Drosophila melanogaster: one gene and its partners. The protein of the gene in region 1 interacts with the protein of each later gene in a pairwise test. Each region holds a gene or a part of one and is shown on either strand. Other genes may lie near its edges.

What was found. The genes of interacting proteins can lie anywhere in the genome.
Region 2: the proteins of CG5555 (region 1) and Targ2 interact in a two-hybrid assay, tested with the Drosophila melanogaster proteins (one large-scale study listed by BioGRID).
Region 3: the proteins of CG5555 (region 1) and RpS15Aa interact in a two-hybrid assay, tested with the Drosophila melanogaster proteins (one large-scale study listed by BioGRID).

The regions. Positions count from the first base shown.
Region 1 is NT_033777.3:19,177,562-19,182,291, forward strand, and holds CG5555 (uncharacterized protein), read right to left. Parts: upstream 2,978-4,730; 5' UTR 2,860-2,977; coding exon 2,844-2,859; intron 2,762-2,843; exon of another isoform or gene 2,627-2,761; coding exon of another isoform or gene 2,620-2,626; coding exon 2,566-2,619; intron 2,499-2,565; coding exon 2,150-2,498; intron 2,088-2,149; coding exon 1,917-2,087; intron 1,850-1,916; coding exon 1,058-1,849; intron 992-1,057; coding exon 697-991; 3' UTR 524-696; downstream 1-523. Other genes in the region: CG14282 (uncharacterized protein), read left to right, coding at 1-372.
Region 2 is NT_037436.4:21,197,761-21,204,835, forward strand, and holds Targ2 (terminal ADP-ribose protein glycohydrolase 2), read right to left. Parts: upstream 5,331-7,075; 5' UTR 5,318-5,330; exon of another isoform or gene 5,160-5,317; intron 5,123-5,159; exon of another isoform or gene 4,988-5,122; intron 2,929-4,987; exon of another isoform or gene 2,755-2,928; 5' UTR 2,535-2,754; coding exon 2,235-2,534; intron 1,645-2,234; coding exon 1,486-1,644; intron 1,424-1,485; coding exon 1,121-1,423; intron 969-1,120; coding exon 699-968; 3' UTR 501-698; downstream 1-500. Other genes in the region: Targ1 (terminal ADP-ribose protein glycohydrolase 1), read right to left, coding at 1-365; CG10512 (uncharacterized protein), read left to right, coding at 5,331-5,562.
Region 3 is NC_004354.4:13,335,137-13,339,389, reverse strand, and holds RpS15Aa (ribosomal protein S15Aa), read left to right. Parts: upstream 1-1,751; 5' UTR 1,752-1,885; intron 1,886-3,010; 5' UTR 3,011-3,012; coding exon 3,013-3,405; 3' UTR 3,406-3,753; downstream 3,754-4,253. Other genes in the region: CG15747 (uncharacterized protein), read right to left, coding at 1-938, 1,005-1,015.

The DNA.
Region 1 (4,730 bases):
AGCTGCGAGGCGGAGCTGCTGCCCTTTTTCAAACTGCTCAAGGATTCCGATCCGAAGACCTACTGCGAGTGCTGCTGTTTCAAGGGATACGACTGGATGCCCAAGAGCAAGAATCTGGAGGCCGTGGATGCAATGGCTGGCGAGATCAAGGAACAGATGGGCGACGTACTGGTCAGGGCCTTCGCTCAACTGCACATTCATTCGCCGCAGGATCCACGCGCCTTTATTGCCGCCTATCTGATGAATCTTGATCGTAACGAGCAGGAAATGAAGGAGAAGCTCGTGATTTTCCAAGCAGATCCAGCAGTGCAACCCCAGGAGCTTTCGGATCCCACATTCAATTGCGAGGATATTTGTCCGAAGCCTGAATGATATCATTATTAATCCACGATTGTATTCGAATAATAACTTTAAATTGGCGAGCTAAGTACACAGAATTTATTGCCACCAGCGGAAAAATTTAAATGAAAAGCGGCTTTCTTCAAACATTTTATTAATTCAAAATAAACACGCAATACATTTTGGGACATATGGTTTTCTACGTAGTAGTAGTTATATTTAATCCTTAGGTTTTCGTTATACAAAGGAAATCACATATAGAGCTGTTATAAACCTTATATACTCGGTTTGCATAGCCATCTAAGATCGGGTAAACAATGCAGCTTGGATATAAAGACGGCGTACGGTGGCTATGATTTATTTCTTGCGACGATTACGGCGCCGGGTGTTGGGATCCGGTTCCTTCTCTGCAATGCCTGTAACGGTGCCACCCGCTATCTCGGTGTTGGCCAACTTTTGCTGATTGTCCAAAAAGAACATAATGTCGCGAAGCTGTTCCTTTAATTCGGTCACCTCGGCGTCGTGGGTTTGCTTGAACTCGTTGTACTGCTGTTCCAAGAGTTTGTATTTGCCGTGCCAGGAGCTCTGGTTGCTCTGCAGTGCCTTGGACAACTCACGCTCTTCGTTCAGCTGCTTCTGTACATCCTTTAGCCTACAAGAGCACGAAATTGGTTAATATTTGGTTAATTAGGAAAGGCGATGTGAATGTATTTCTTACTTAGCTGTATGCTGGGCCAACTTGCGCTCCAAATTGACCTTTTCTTTCTGCATGTTCTGCTGAAGCTGTTGAAGCTCGGAAACCTCTGTCTTGGCGTCGTTGGCAGTCGCCTTGTGGTTCTGCCACTCCTGCTCCAATCGTTCCATGCGCTCCTCATAGTACTTGCGCTGTGTGTCCAGCTGAGAGGTCAACAGGTATGTGAACTCCATCTGCATGGAGTCAATCTTTTCCTCGCGCTCATCTTTCTCGGTTTGCGATGCCACCAGCTTGCCGTCGGATTTGTTTTGAAATAAGCGATGCACAAAGTTGTCACCGGCATAGTCCCATACGCTTGAGGTGCCCAACTGCATGGCAAAGGTGTGATTTGTGGCCCGGAAGTGTGCAGCAGCATGTCCTCCCTGGTAGCGTCCGCAGCCCACATGTCCGCAGATCAGGCAGATCCATAAGGAATCGGTGCCCTCGCATTCCATGCACACGGAATCTTCGACCAGTCCAGGAGTTTGAACATGGCGGCACACCGGACAGGTGGAGTCACCCCATTTCATCAGGCAGCTGGCGTGGAAGGCGTGATTGCACAATATGGTCAACACTCCATCCACGCTCTCGTCCATGCGCTCCAGGCACACTGGACAGGTGGGTAGCTCGGTGTGTCCCATTGGTGGTGCTCCATGCTCGCTCCTTTCCACCTCTGATACCCAGACCGCGTGGCACAGCGAGTCCGGTTCCAGTGAGTTGTAAGTACTGCCATTATAGGACTTGTAGAACTCCAAAGCGGATTCATTCGAGCGGAATCTATAAGAGTGTGATTATATTAGTAAATATCCGTGAATCTGTAATGTCAGATTGGAACGCCGCTTACTCCAAAAGCACCATGAACTGATTGGGGCTGCCGTCACGTACAATCTGGATGTGTTTAATCTCTGCATGACAGGGGGCAATAAAGTTCAGCAGATCGTGGCAGTTAAGAGTGGCCGGCACGGCCAGCAGGCAGAGTTGGTTAGATGGAGCTTCCTTGATGGCCTTGCGTTCGCTGAAACATACAGAAATAATGGTGAGTGAAATATTTAGTAGGATAGAGCAGAGTTAACCCACTTTTTCTTGTAGAGATGGATAAGACCTTTGGTCACCTCGACGATGGGATTGCCGGAGAAGTACCCTATCTCTTGGGGAAAGTTGGAGGCGCTGGCTCCCGCCTGGCCATCATCGCCGCTCCGAGGAGTTATCTCCCGGGAGCTGCCCGCCGAGGGGCTGTTCACATGCTGCACGGCGGCTACCCAGTTCATCTCCTGCTGTCTGGGTTCACTCAATTCCCGCTTCCAACGCTGGTTTGTGTACGTTTCGATGGTGATGTCGCGGGATTGGCGAAGTCCGCGGTCGCGTTCCCGCTCCTTGAGCACTCGGGGATTGGTTGGATGTTCGGCGGACACAGCTCCCTCAGAATCTGTTCGAAAATATAGAATTAATGCACTTCCTTTGTCCGAAGCTATCGTTGCTGCATTGAATTTTACCTGCACTGGGATCCAAATCCGTTTCGATCTTGATCACACACAGGGAAATGTTTTCTAGCATGACACGGGCATAATTTTCATTAGTTTTTATATATAAAAAAAAGCCTAAAGACCGTTCAAAGTGTAATTTTCTATTTTACTCTGTGCGAAATGAGTTTGTTATTTTTCTATGTGAACTAGTTCGCGCGGAGTGAACGGCCATCGATTGCTTCGCGACAAAAGTGTTTAGTTCAACAATCGCTTATCGATAATGCCTACCAACACTGATTGTAACGTACCTGGATTCAAGTCCATCGAAATTCAAAAGATTAAAATATTAATTTCGTGCTCGGTTTAGCAGATTTTCATCGCCAATAGAGAAAATGTATATTTTTACTCGTATGAAATGATAAGTGAATGGAGCCAATAAAATAAAAGTGATTTCCTGTGGAACAGTGTGCTATGAAGTAACATACAACTTGTCGGCTTCGCTTGACAACTTCGGCTGTGGCCACTTCGGTCGGATCCGCTTGGCGAGTTGGCCAAAACAAAGCCAGTGCGTTGCTGTTGCTGCTGCGTATCGGACGTGTTCGGTGAGCCAGACTCGCGTCATCCGTGATTTGGGCCATAACAAAAACAAGTTTACGAAACTTACGTCGTCATCTCGTTCTTTCCCGCGCGCGTAAACCAAGTCAAAATAAAAGAGAAGCAAAACAAAAAGGCTGTCCAAAGGAAATTGCAACAAATCAAAAACCAAAAGCGAAAGCAAAAGTGAGTGCAATAGTTTTTTGTGATTTAATTCCATACCGTTTGCTGCAGTAACCATGGGCTGCGCCCGCGGTTAACACAACAAATTGATTACCATGGGCGCGGCGGACCAAAGTCGATTGTAATTGCAATTACCAAGATTGGACCACAAAGTACATTTAACCGCACACACACGTGCAACATTCAATGTATGGACGCGGCCGTAAAAACGGTCATCGCAAGGAGTCAACCTATTGATTTTTGGTATTATTTATTAAGGGGTTCGCCCATAAACCTGCTTACCAAATTCGCAACTGGCTCACCTTTCTCACAACCGCACTCATATGCTAACAAACAAGACCGGAGATCAAAAATAGCCGTGGGTGCACAGTGAGAAACATTTGTGCTGAATTACCTCTTTTAATATATTTACTGTCTATTACTATGTGTCTATGTGTCTTTACTGTCTATGTGTCTTTGTAGTTTGAAATATTAGTTAAACCTTAAATTTCATCAATCAATCATAACTAACTCAATCAATGAATGAAACTTTGCGTTTCCTTGCCAAATATTAATATTAAACGCTCTCACCACTTTTAAGTGAAAGTAAATTTAACCTTTCTATGCAAAATCTAATTTATAAATAATATAATCTCCATGGTGCCGCTTTTTTGGGCCAGTGCATGCGTGTGTGAGGACGTCAGCCCGTTTCTGGGTTGCTGCTGACAGCTGCCAAGTGCCAGGAGCTTGTCGTCAACAAGTCTATCAAAAGCACGTTTGTCATTTTTGTTGCACTCGCCCAGCCAGCAGGTGGCACCTCCCAGCGCCACCCACCCACTCCATCCACTCCATTCACTCCACCCACTCGGCGTCTCACTATGTAAAGCGTGTGTGTGTCTGAGAGCTGCTTTTGTGTTCGCCAATTTGAAGTTTGTTTGAAACTACATGTATTGCCCCCTCGCTGACATTCATCCCGCAACGGCGCTGAGCACTCTGCCATTTTCATTTGCATTTTCGCCGTCCCGCTTTTCCGCTCTCCGCCTTCGGAAGAAAATCAATTGTTGTATGCAATAAACGCAAGGCGAACGGAACGAAACGCTGCCAACCAGTTTTTGCAGCGGAGCCAAAATCCGTTTTCAGTTTACATAAACCGAGTTTGACTCAAAAAAGTTGGCAAAACCATGGTTTTTTGTTTCCCTCTTGCTGTTAAATTATGCACAGTTTATATATAACAAACGGTAAATAACTAAAGCTAAATAGTTTATTGATTTCCCAAAAATTTCTTAGCATCAGCTTTCGCTAATAAAATTTTATTTAATTTAACTATGTTTACTTTTAAACAAAGTGTGCTCAGCTACACACCTTTTGTGTTGAAGGAAACACTAATAAATACTTAATTTATTGAGCTTCTTTTAATTACCCCGCTTATCCTAAAAGGT
Region 2 (7,075 bases), on another chromosome or scaffold:
ATATGCTCACGCATCTGCTCCAAAGATGCTTGTACAGATTCGTAGGTGGGCTTTCCCCAGCTCTGAGGCTTGGTTACTAGGTAGTAAATGTACCGCTGGTCATCCTTCAGCACCGCAATATCTCCACTGCCCGCTTGTTGGGCTTGCAGCTCGTCCAACCTTCCGAATACCTTCTTGAACTGCACGGCAATTCCAGCACCCATCGCAAGATCTGCGCCCACACAGTGCGCCAAGGAATAGGTCTTGGGGGCGGAAAACAGATCCCCATCCACTTCGCTTAGGGTGTACTGAGGTTTGGATGACATTCCGACTACAAAAGCTCGCCGAAATGCGCTACGTAGTTCTAGAAGTTTGGGAGAATACATTTAGTTTAAATAAGGGTTTTAGATCTGTCTGACTTAGTGTAACAGGCAGCTACTAGATTAATTTTTGGTCATACGATAACACTAGATAATGGTTCGTAAGGGTATATATATGTATTTATCAAAACTCCAATCTTTGGTTAATATCCTCTCGAGGACGTGTTTTATTTATTAATACATTAAATACAGTATAAATAACCAAATATGGAAACTTTGTGTGCTATAAAAACCTCTTAGGTGTATCGTTCTTATCAACTATATAAGTATTTGGTGCATATGATGCCACAAGTCCCAAGCAAAACCATTTCGAGTGTCAAACAAAGATGGCTATATACATTAAAAGGGAGTCTTTTCGCGATGAAGCGAATTTCTTGATCCACTAACGGACCTCGATGGCAAATGGATGGTCTTCATGTGCCGGCAGGTGGGACAAACCACGTTCAACGTGTCCTTAACCATTTGTGGCGGTGTGTAGAAGAATGCAATTATGTCCACGCTATCCTCGGCGAAAACCAGATCCAGCAGACTCCGCACGCGCAACCAATCCAAACGGTCGATGCCGCATCCAAGTCTGGGAATGGCCAACTTGGTCACTCCGTGCTCCCTCTGAAAGAGAGAATATAGCAAGCATATTTAGTATCCAGTATCTTGCTCTAATACAGTTTGGTGAACCTGATCCTAACTATAATGTTTCACCTTTCTCTTTATTTTAGTAATGCAGTTTTGGTCTGTAAGCCCTTAAAAATACAATTCCTTACCATATGTTCCCGCATGGCCAGCAATGCGTAGTAGAGAGCTGCGTAAGTGCACTTTTCGTGGCTGCGCTCCTTGGTCACCAGGTTGTAGATATGTCTACCATCCTGCTCCAGAACTGCCACATTTCCGGTATGCTTGTGTTGGCGCTTCAGCTCATCCACTTGTCCGAATTTGCAGCGGAACTGCAGATTTATGCCCGCACACATAGCGAAGTCCGCACTGACAGAGTGCACTAAGGCGTAGTTTTCCGGGGCGCTGAACAGGTTCCCCCTGGCCTCCGTAATCTGACACTTGGGAGCAGCCAGCTGTGGATTATCTGAGTATTAACCCACTGTTCTTTGTTAATAAGCCATGTTGGATGGCTCACCTCCTTGGACATGTCTTCGTGCTCACAGATGAGTATCTCGATGGGATACTCGCTCTGGGAGAAGGTCTGCTGCACCAGACGCTTCACGTGCTTCCATTCAAGTCCATCGTTGCCGCAGCAGATTCGGGGCATAGCCACTTTGGTGATCTCATGGTTGCGCTGCAGAGACACTACAGTGAGAATTGCCCAATGCACTATTTTCAAAACCTCGGACTTGATGACAATTTGGTTCTGAGGGCTTCACATAATTTGACGGACAGGCGGACGAGGCCCGATTGATTCGGCTAGTCATTCTGATCAACAATATATGTACGTATTGCTTATAGGGTCAGAAACATAACATTGGGTATAAAAAGAAGCTGACTTTACTTTCTCTTCGCTCAATTATCATTCAACCCAATGATAATATTTTATAAAGAAAAATCGACGCTAAGATGGGAAGATCCATTTGTCCGATTGCTACTGTGTCCCAAAGTCCACATAAATTAACTGCATGCCCATTTCATGAAATCGTTTTTTGACTAAACATGAGACACAAGCGAAATTCTTTTGGATGACAAAAGGGGCGAACTGTTTTTAGATACTCACTGTATCGCAATGTACAAATGAATTAACTGTAAATTGACGAGGGCAGCACCAAAGAAACCAGTTTCCCAAGCGTCGAATTGTGTTTACTCTTTGGGGAAATGTCACTTGTTTGCCGGGAAACCCCCACTCCACCACCAAGACGACGGCTAAAAAGCACTCACCATATGCTCCCGCATGCAGATCAAAGCTGCCTGGACATCGCCGTAAGTGCTGGCCTCGTAGAGACTCGACTTGGTCACCAGATAGTATATGAATCGGGCATTGTGCTCCAGAACGGCACAGTTGCCTCTGGAAACACTTCTTTGCCGTAGTTCATCCACATCCCCGTAGATCAGGGCAAACTGCCAGGCGAGAGTTCCCCGTTCCGCCGTAAAGGATGACTCTACGGCATGGGCCAAGGAATGTGTCTGCGGTGCGTGGAATATGTCCAGCTTGGACTCCACTATCTTCACGTTCGCCATGGCGCACTAGCTCTCTACAGAGTATTATATATCCAACTGCAATTAAGCTGAAATTATTCTGATTACCAGCCGAAACAGAAGCTCTCAATGCCAAAAATGATTTTCGTACTTACGTGCACGCAGCGCTGGAAACTTTCACGTCGAGGTCAAAACTCGCGATAAAAACTTTTTCGACTTCGGAATGGTTTTGACTGTGTGTTTTTGGGTTCTGCACAGAAACCTGCACAAAACCAGAATGAAAACAAAGCTATTAACGGATTCTGAACAGCAAGCGGCTAGTTGGTAGCTTGTTTATTTTGGCGATTCGCCGATTTCCCACTCCCAATTTACAATGCCGTTTGGAGGTTACTATTTAATCGACTGCCTCGGCCGGCGGTCTGCAGCGGAATGCGCCATCGGAGCTCGATGTGGATGTGGGCATGGGTATGGTGGTATGGGTTATGGGTTATGGGTGAAGCGACGTGCCGGGCGAAAGCCCAGCGAGAATCTTCGAGCCTCAGTGACAACATTTCGCCCAGAGGCGCCGCCGCGGGGCTCCAAATGTTAATGATTGCACTGTAAAAAACACATCGTTTTCCACTTAATACTATACGACTTGAGTTATTATTTTATTTTATATATGATTATTAATCTATTGTGTTTATCGTGGTGTTAGAAAATTCATTTTGTCATTTGTTTGCGGAGTAAATTGCCAAGCACAGATGGATTTGGGTTTTCAAAATGGATCATGTTTTCAGACCTAGAAAGTTAAAGCGGGCGAAAGTTACTGAACTCGTTTTGAATCTTTTTTTGAAATTTTATTTTTAAATCACAAGTATGCTGTTTTTAAGCTAAATTAAAAAAAAAATGCACTAATCATATATAACCATTTCTAGTTTTTTGAAAGATGTACTTCCTAATTTTTAAAAGTTACCTGATCAAGTACTGAGAATACCGAAAATGTACTGAAATTGCATATTGGTCATTTTTTTTTTTAATTTAACTGAACTTTTTGGGAGAAAAATCCACCAGCAGGCATGACAATCCACTGAATCATAACGACGATAGTGATGATGATTGGTGGCGATGATGATGACATACATGTGCTAGCAAGTGTGAGTTGATACCGCGTAGTTTGTTTGTTTGTTTGTTTTCAGCGACAAGTTGACTTGGCATTGCCCGAAATCGTCAAAGCCGCTGTAACAGCCAATTAAGAACTTGTGCAGGCTTTTGATAGCGTTTTATAGATTAATAACGACGGATCGTTCCGATCGAAGCACCTGTATGTGAATGTGTACCTGTGCGTGGGCCGCTGTCAAAGGTAATCGGCGCTCAAGCGCTAAATAGGGATTGTATACCGACTAAAGTGCATGTATAAATATACATATGACTTAAATTATTCGTTAATTAAATGGCAGGTGAAATAAAATATACCAACACAAACAACGAACAAATAACCATATAAAGTGACAACTTGTATTCTAAAACAAACAAAACAGGCAGCAGAGCGGCAGCAGCTTTTCGATTTAGTATGAGGTAAAAACTTAAGATTTTTGTCGATTGTAGACTCGGATGACGAAAAAATATTTTATTTACTAGTTAATATAGGAAAAACTTAGTAGAAAATAGAAATGCTAAAAGAATTCAGTGATATCCATTTTTAACTATCAATTGATCATGTATTATAAATAAAACGAGAATGTTGCTTCACATTTGCTTTTCAAAACAAACGTCGAAGAAAAAGCATCACTTGCAACTCATTTTATAAATTTTTATATAAACTGACAATTTTTTTGGTTTTTAATTAAAAATATGTTTGTGTCGTAGACTATAAAAACAAATTTATGATTTATATTGCCCTATGACTATATCATAGAGTATATTCTTTTTATGCTACACAAACGGATATTCCAATTGGAATGACTAGACGCCCAATTGCGTGGGTGGTTGTCTCGGCTAATGTCTTCTACTTCATCCTAGACCGCCACCATTTATTTTCAGCTTTTCGCCAAAAAATAGCATCAAAAACAAACCAATTGCTTATGCTTTTCCTTAAATATCCTAACAATAGCACTGATTTTTAAAGTAGTTAAATGAATATTTTTGTAAATCATAACACTTTGCCTCCATATAGCTTTACACATTTACGCATGTCAAGCCGCAGCTTTGAACGAATTGTTGCATTGAAATTTAGACTTCGCTTTTCCTCTCGATGGGGCACCTTGTGAGGAAAAGCGATAGCTGCGAACGATGCCGCCAGTTCACGGCAGTTCAGCTTGTCGCCTCGAACAATAAAGACGACCGATCCGGGAGCCATAATATATATATAATATAGCTTTATAGCACGGCACTGTTTGGATTTTGGCGTGCCAATTGGCGCTAGTTGCTGCCGTTGCTGTTGTTGTTGTTGCTTTGTTTGTTGTGCTAATTACGTAAATTGCGTGTTTATTTGTTTGTTAATTTAAATACTTTACGTAGTAGTGAATTTGTTAGTTGACGACCCGCCAGGTTCGTTTTTTTTCTGGGCAATTAATCTGCGCGCGAGTAAATCTCCCGGAGAAAACAAGAGAAGCGTTGTGAGTCACTTGAGAATTAGAGAATAACTAAAAAGTGCAAGCGAAAAAAGCAAAGCTCACACTCGTCACGCCAGCTCAGCTGATTCTGATTGGGATTCTTACTACTCTCTCTCTCTCTCTCTGTCTCTCTTCATTACGATACGTAATATACGTATACGTATTTGTATACCCCTCTCTCTCACACACTCTTCTATTCTGTTTTGGTTACCTTTTTGTGGGTTACGTTACCTTATTTGCCGATATGACTGCTTTGACATTGCTACGACGATCAGTTACGGCGGTCAGCTACGACGGTTACGCCCACGTTTGCGTTACGAATTGGCGGTTTCTGCCCCAGCTTCAAAGGTGCCAATTGCATTTGCACGTTAGTGGGCGACATGCTGCTGTACTTTTGTCCAGCAAAACAACAGCAACAACAGCAACATCAGCTGTTGCAGCTGCGCAGGCGCCAAATGCGTATGCTAATGTTGGCGGTAAGTTCATAAGCTTAATTTATGCAAACAGCGCGTGCACTCGGTGATTTATGATGCTGCAGCAGATTCATGCATCGAAATCGTTAAATAAAAACCGAATGAGAGATATGCGCGCCTAACGAAAAGGGAGATATAACGATACCTTAGATTCAAACTTTCAAGAGATCTTAGGCAAAAAAATGTACCGGTTACAACCGATTCGATTCAATAAACTACATCACTGATATCATCACCTCTCATAATTGTAACTCGATGAATGGTTTAATTTAGAAATAAACAAAAAAAATTAAAAATCTGTTGTAAGTGAAAATCTAAAGTCTTCCATCAATCGTAAACAATATATATAAATAATAATAAATATGTAACTAACTAAATATGTAACTAACTAGTTGCTGGCATTATTAAGCCACAGAAAAATAAAGGTCAAAGGTCTATCTTCCGAGAATAAGTTTATAAGTTTACTCCATATCAACTACTGAAGTTATTCGTAAATACGTTTGAATTTAAGCGCATACCAACTGCAGTATTATATTTTTGTTTGCTTTTTTTTGTTCAGTTTCTCTTATTACATATTTTATCTGGTATTCGCAAACATCACAATCCTTTATCCTTTGTTAACCCAGCAAAGCCCCAAAAATAATATTTATGTTCTGGCAGACAAGTGGGTATTTTATTATGAAATGGGGGACTGTCCTTTAATGTACGATAAAAATATAAATAAAAACGAAATGGGACTGGGATTGGAGGCGTGTTCGTCTCCGCCTGCCTTGCATTTATTACTAATCACAATTTAATAGCCCCATTGAAAGCTCATTAAGCACTCACTCTTCCTTTTTATTGCAGAAAGTGAAACAGAATTTAATAACCGGTTCCACTTCAATTGCCATTTTATCAACATAACACCCGCTCCAGAAGCGCGGATCGATCATTTTTCTGCCATTACTCAAAAAAGGTGTTAATGAGCGCACCGAATCGGTCATAAAACTTGTTTCACCAAATCCAACACTTGTTGGTTATGTACTCGTTTACTCTAGATTAATTAGGGTCTGTTCCTCAAAGCTCTTTAAATGTACTTCGGGACATATATAGGCTATAACCGATAAGATAAGTGGACAGAAATCCTATAAGAACTGATATAAGATTAAATAATTAGCAGATGGAGTGCTGGGTATTTTTTTATTATTCAGCAAATGAACCAAGTCGTGTTTGATCCATTTAAAGCGAAAATGAGCCAGGTTTGGTTTGAAAATAAACTTTGTTATATTCTAGATTTCAGGTTCAAGTATTAATATGTTATCGTGTTCAAACTCTTTATCGAATTTTATCTGGTTAATAATCAATTGAGTACAACAACTATAGCTATAGTAATATGTACTAACGTGCTGTACTCAAGAATTCATTCTTTTCCATGCAGTATTTTCATGTGGTTGCCCATTTCAATTTTTTCTGAGTGGTGTGACTGGGTTTCGATAAGATAAAGCTCGTAAAGCCATCAACTTAATTGGGGTTTCAG
Region 3 (4,253 bases), on another chromosome or scaffold:
CTGAACTTTCCGGAGCCTTGTCCTTATCCTCCTTTTTGATCTGGGACAGCTTATTCTTTTCCTTCTCATTCTCCTTCTCGTCTTCTTCATCGCTGGAGTCGTCTATGCTAAAATCAGAATCGGCATCTATGTTGTTGGTCAAATGTGCCTGCGCTGGTATGCTTTCCGTTTGATCCGTTGACTTCGTGGCGTCCGAGGCTGCGTCTGATTTGCTCTTAGTCTGCTCCTCTTCATCCTCGGAGGGGCGACGTCGCCGATAGCTTCGATGCTTGACAGCCTCTGCCTTAATGGGTTTGTATGCCACCTCGTCGGTGGTGGGCGCCGTCTTTGGCTTGACGACATCCTGCTGGGCGGGACCGCCCAACTTTTGTTCGTATAGATGGCGATAGAAGCCGTCCAGATCCTTTTGCTTGGTCACATCGCCAATGGCCTCGAGGTACTCATCACGCTGCTCCTGCTCCTGCATCTGGCGTATGGACTCGAGCTTCTTGCGGTAGGCGGCAGTCACGTAGGTGTCCTTGTCCTTATACATCTCGCCCTCGGCTTCGCGATCCTTCTGCACCTGCCGTTCGATGCGCAGCTCCTTCTCCAGCTTTCTGCGCTCGGCATGCTCCATCAGCCGGCCAATGTACTTTGGTTTCCGCGGCTCCTGGCTCTTCGTCTGCTTGGCCTCCTCGCGTTTGCTGTCCATGTCATCGTACAGCTCGTCGTACTGGAATATGGTTGGATCCTCGGCCAGGGCCTTCTCCTGCTGCCGGCGGGCCACGCGGCGTTCCATTAGACTAGGACCCATGGATACGCCGCCGGTTCTTGGCTGAAATTGAGGAGCAGCTGGGTCATCATCGGTCTCGGAGTCGCTGTTCTCGTCGAAGATGGAGGGCCTTTCGACTCGTTTTAGAGGTACTTTCTTCTGTTGGCCGGGTAAAATAAGGCCATATCTGCACGGTGTTGAAACGGGTCCTTAAAAAACTGCTCAAATTGTTTATTTTTAACAAATTACTTACTGTTTTGCCATTCTTGTTTATTTATGAATAATTAGTATGACCGTCTGAAGCGACCACAAAAATCCCTCAATGGTGCAAAACTGCTGACAGCAACGCTTTACCGGCTAAAAGAACCGTTGTATATCGATAGGAGGACCATTCGATAGTATTAAGATAATAGTTTGAAACACGGATAGTATCACAAAATTCGTTATTTCAATGTGAAACTACTTTAAAACTTGTGCTTTAATCAACTTGTATTTAATTGTGTTTCAATGGACCAATCATTACTTTATTTTCTGTTTTATTGCCAAACCAAGGCTCTTACCCCTTGAAATCATGTTAGTGCAACTCTAGAGACGTAAAATACACATACAAATATGGCGAAATATTGAAACAAATTAAAATAAATTTAAATATAAATAAATTGTTATGTTAATAAAGCGTTTAATTATCACTTAAGGCCTGCTGTTTTTTTTTTATTTATTTTTTTACGCCAATGGAAACATCGGTCCTTAGTCTGGCTACGCAGAAAAATATAGACGGGATCATGATGCTCGGGGGGATCAGAGAAATATCAAAGATTACTTCTGAAGCCGTTCAAGTCTATTCACATGCATAGTGGCAGTTGGGCTCCAAATAATTGGAAGCGATTTTAGTCAAGCCAGCAACCGCGGCCTGCGTCCGGCTAACTATCGATAGGCACGTTGAGCGTAGACACATTCGACAAACGCGGCCACACTGTTCTGCGTCTTTTTCCTTCCGTTTCCCTTTCTTTTCCCTTTTTCACGTTTGCGTGAGTACGTGTACTCCGAGTTTTGTTCAACAAAATTGTATTTAACTCTCTTTTATTTCCTCTATTTGCAGCGGTCGTGTAAAACAGTTTTTGCAAACAAATCCAGGTAAATGCCGCTTCCATTGGACCCGTTTTAAGCGCGAAAATTCAGCCAGATTAGATTGGCGGCGATCGCCGGCCGAAACATGTGCAAATCCACCCAACTCCGTTTTTTTTATTACCCATTTTTTTTTACTGTGGGCCAATGTGCCAAAACTGATCAGTTTACCGTGTAAACAATGCATGAAATGCCTCGCTACATGCGCTATATATATGTATTTTTTTGGTTATAATTTTTTTAATGTGCAAACGAATATGAAGTGAAAAATTGGCCAAAGTGTGTGGCACAGTGTTGTTGTGCATGTGTGGGTGGGTGTGAGCGGCTTTAAATTGTGGCAAAAAGTTGGGCATTCAGTTGAATCGAATGCACGACCGAAAACCGGCTAAATTAAACAAATTTTTACGCAGTTTAGTTGGTAAACTTACCCGAAATAGTTGTTGTTTACAGCCACTTGTACGCACACACACACAGCCGCAGAAACACAGACAGTATCATTTTTTTTTCTTTGCTATTTTGCACGTGTTTTACTTGCTGTTTCTGCTTCTTTTTTTATTCAATGTTCCGTTCCTCGCTGATTTAAAAAGTGAAGTAAAAAACTGTTAAAAATCATAATCAATATTAAAAAACGATTCGTCGTCTGTCCGCGTGAATTTCCGAAAAGGCGCCACGCCTCCTGCCCTCCAGAAATCTAGAGTATTATAATAGTAGCCACTTTTATTGAATACTTTATTATGCTCATAATGGTTCATATGTGTTAGGGAAACCTTTTTCCAATAAGTCATATGCCACACTTGTATAGGCTCCATAAGTTGATATGTTTTGTTTAGGTGGTCAATTGATCTGTTCTTGTAGTACACATAGTTTTACGTACTTTTCAAGTTAGTTTTTCATTTAATAGGGCTTAAGCTTTGTTAGCCAACCTCATAGTACTACTTATATAGTAGTTATATGCAATTTAGTGAGATACTTTTTTTTAGTAGGCTCTGAGCACGTTTTGCTTGGTTTTGTAGACTGATTTTATAGAGCAATGGGGGTGGCAAAGTCTGCACTTTCGATTAAAGCCCAAGACATCATCTTTTTTTTTCTGTGATTATTGCCTCTTGACTAATTGTGTTCCCGAACATTTTGCAGCCATGGTGCGTATGAACGTATTGGCCGATGCCTTGAAGTGCATAAACAACGCCGAGAAGCGTGGCAAGCGGCAGGTGCTGCTGCGTCCCTGCTCCAAGGTGATCATCAAGTTCCTGACCGTGATGATGAAGCATGGCTATATCGGCGAATTCGAGATCGTCGACGATCATCGTTCCGGCAAGATCGTTGTCAACCTGACCGGTAGGCTAAACAAGTGCGGCGTCATCTCGCCCCGCTTCGATGTGCCCATCAACGACATCGAGAAATGGACCAACAATCTGTTGCCCTCGCGTCAGTTTGGTTACGTTGTGCTCACCACCTCTGGCGGCATCATGGACCACGAGGAGGCTAGGAGAAAACATTTGGGAGGCAAAATTCTCGGCTTCTTCTTCTAGAGAAACCAAGTTCGCATCGTAGAGAGTCTGTATGTGCTGCTAAGGAGTTTGATATGTAGATTGACGTTTTATTTCACCGACCATGCAACCAACTATGTACTTTGTGCACAGGAAACAAGGGGCGAAAACGCTGCTACGTTCATTCAGAAAACAAACGACGATGAATGTTCACAAAGTTACGCGAAATAAAATGATTGATACATAATAATTTTAATAACGATTTTGTCTACGATCCATATACTATGTTAAGCGGTACAGTGATAAATCAATAGCGACAGTAAAACGATCTGTTAACATAAAACCCAATTTGTGTATAATATAACCTCGACCGGAGTTACTTATAGCTGGATATTGTCAATTTTATGGCTGAAATCAAGACAATTAGGATGTTAAGAACGCGCCATGCGGTTTCTTTTGAGGTGCTTAAAACACGGTTACGTGCTTTCCATAATGAAAGTAAGGGCCAATTGTTCCCACTCTTGACACCTTAAAGCCAAAAATGATTAGACCATCATAGTTTTGGTATTCCCACCTAGGTTTCTTATTATTTGTTAGAACTTCTTCACCAAGAAAACCTCAATTACTGTCAAAAATTGTTTATGAAGCAAATAATGCTTGTTAGAATTTGTTGTAGTTTCTATAGAACAAAATGTACATGTAAAACGTACATTTACATGCTTCTTCAGGTTTTCAACTGTTTTCCAGCACAAGTTCCGAATTTATGCTGTAGATAACTGCTGCAATTTTTGAGTAAAAATTTGTTTTAATTATGATAAAGTGTATTCACTCGATGAGTCAAATTTGATGTTATCTCAAGTTATCCCTAGGGAGTACTAGGTTTTTTATGA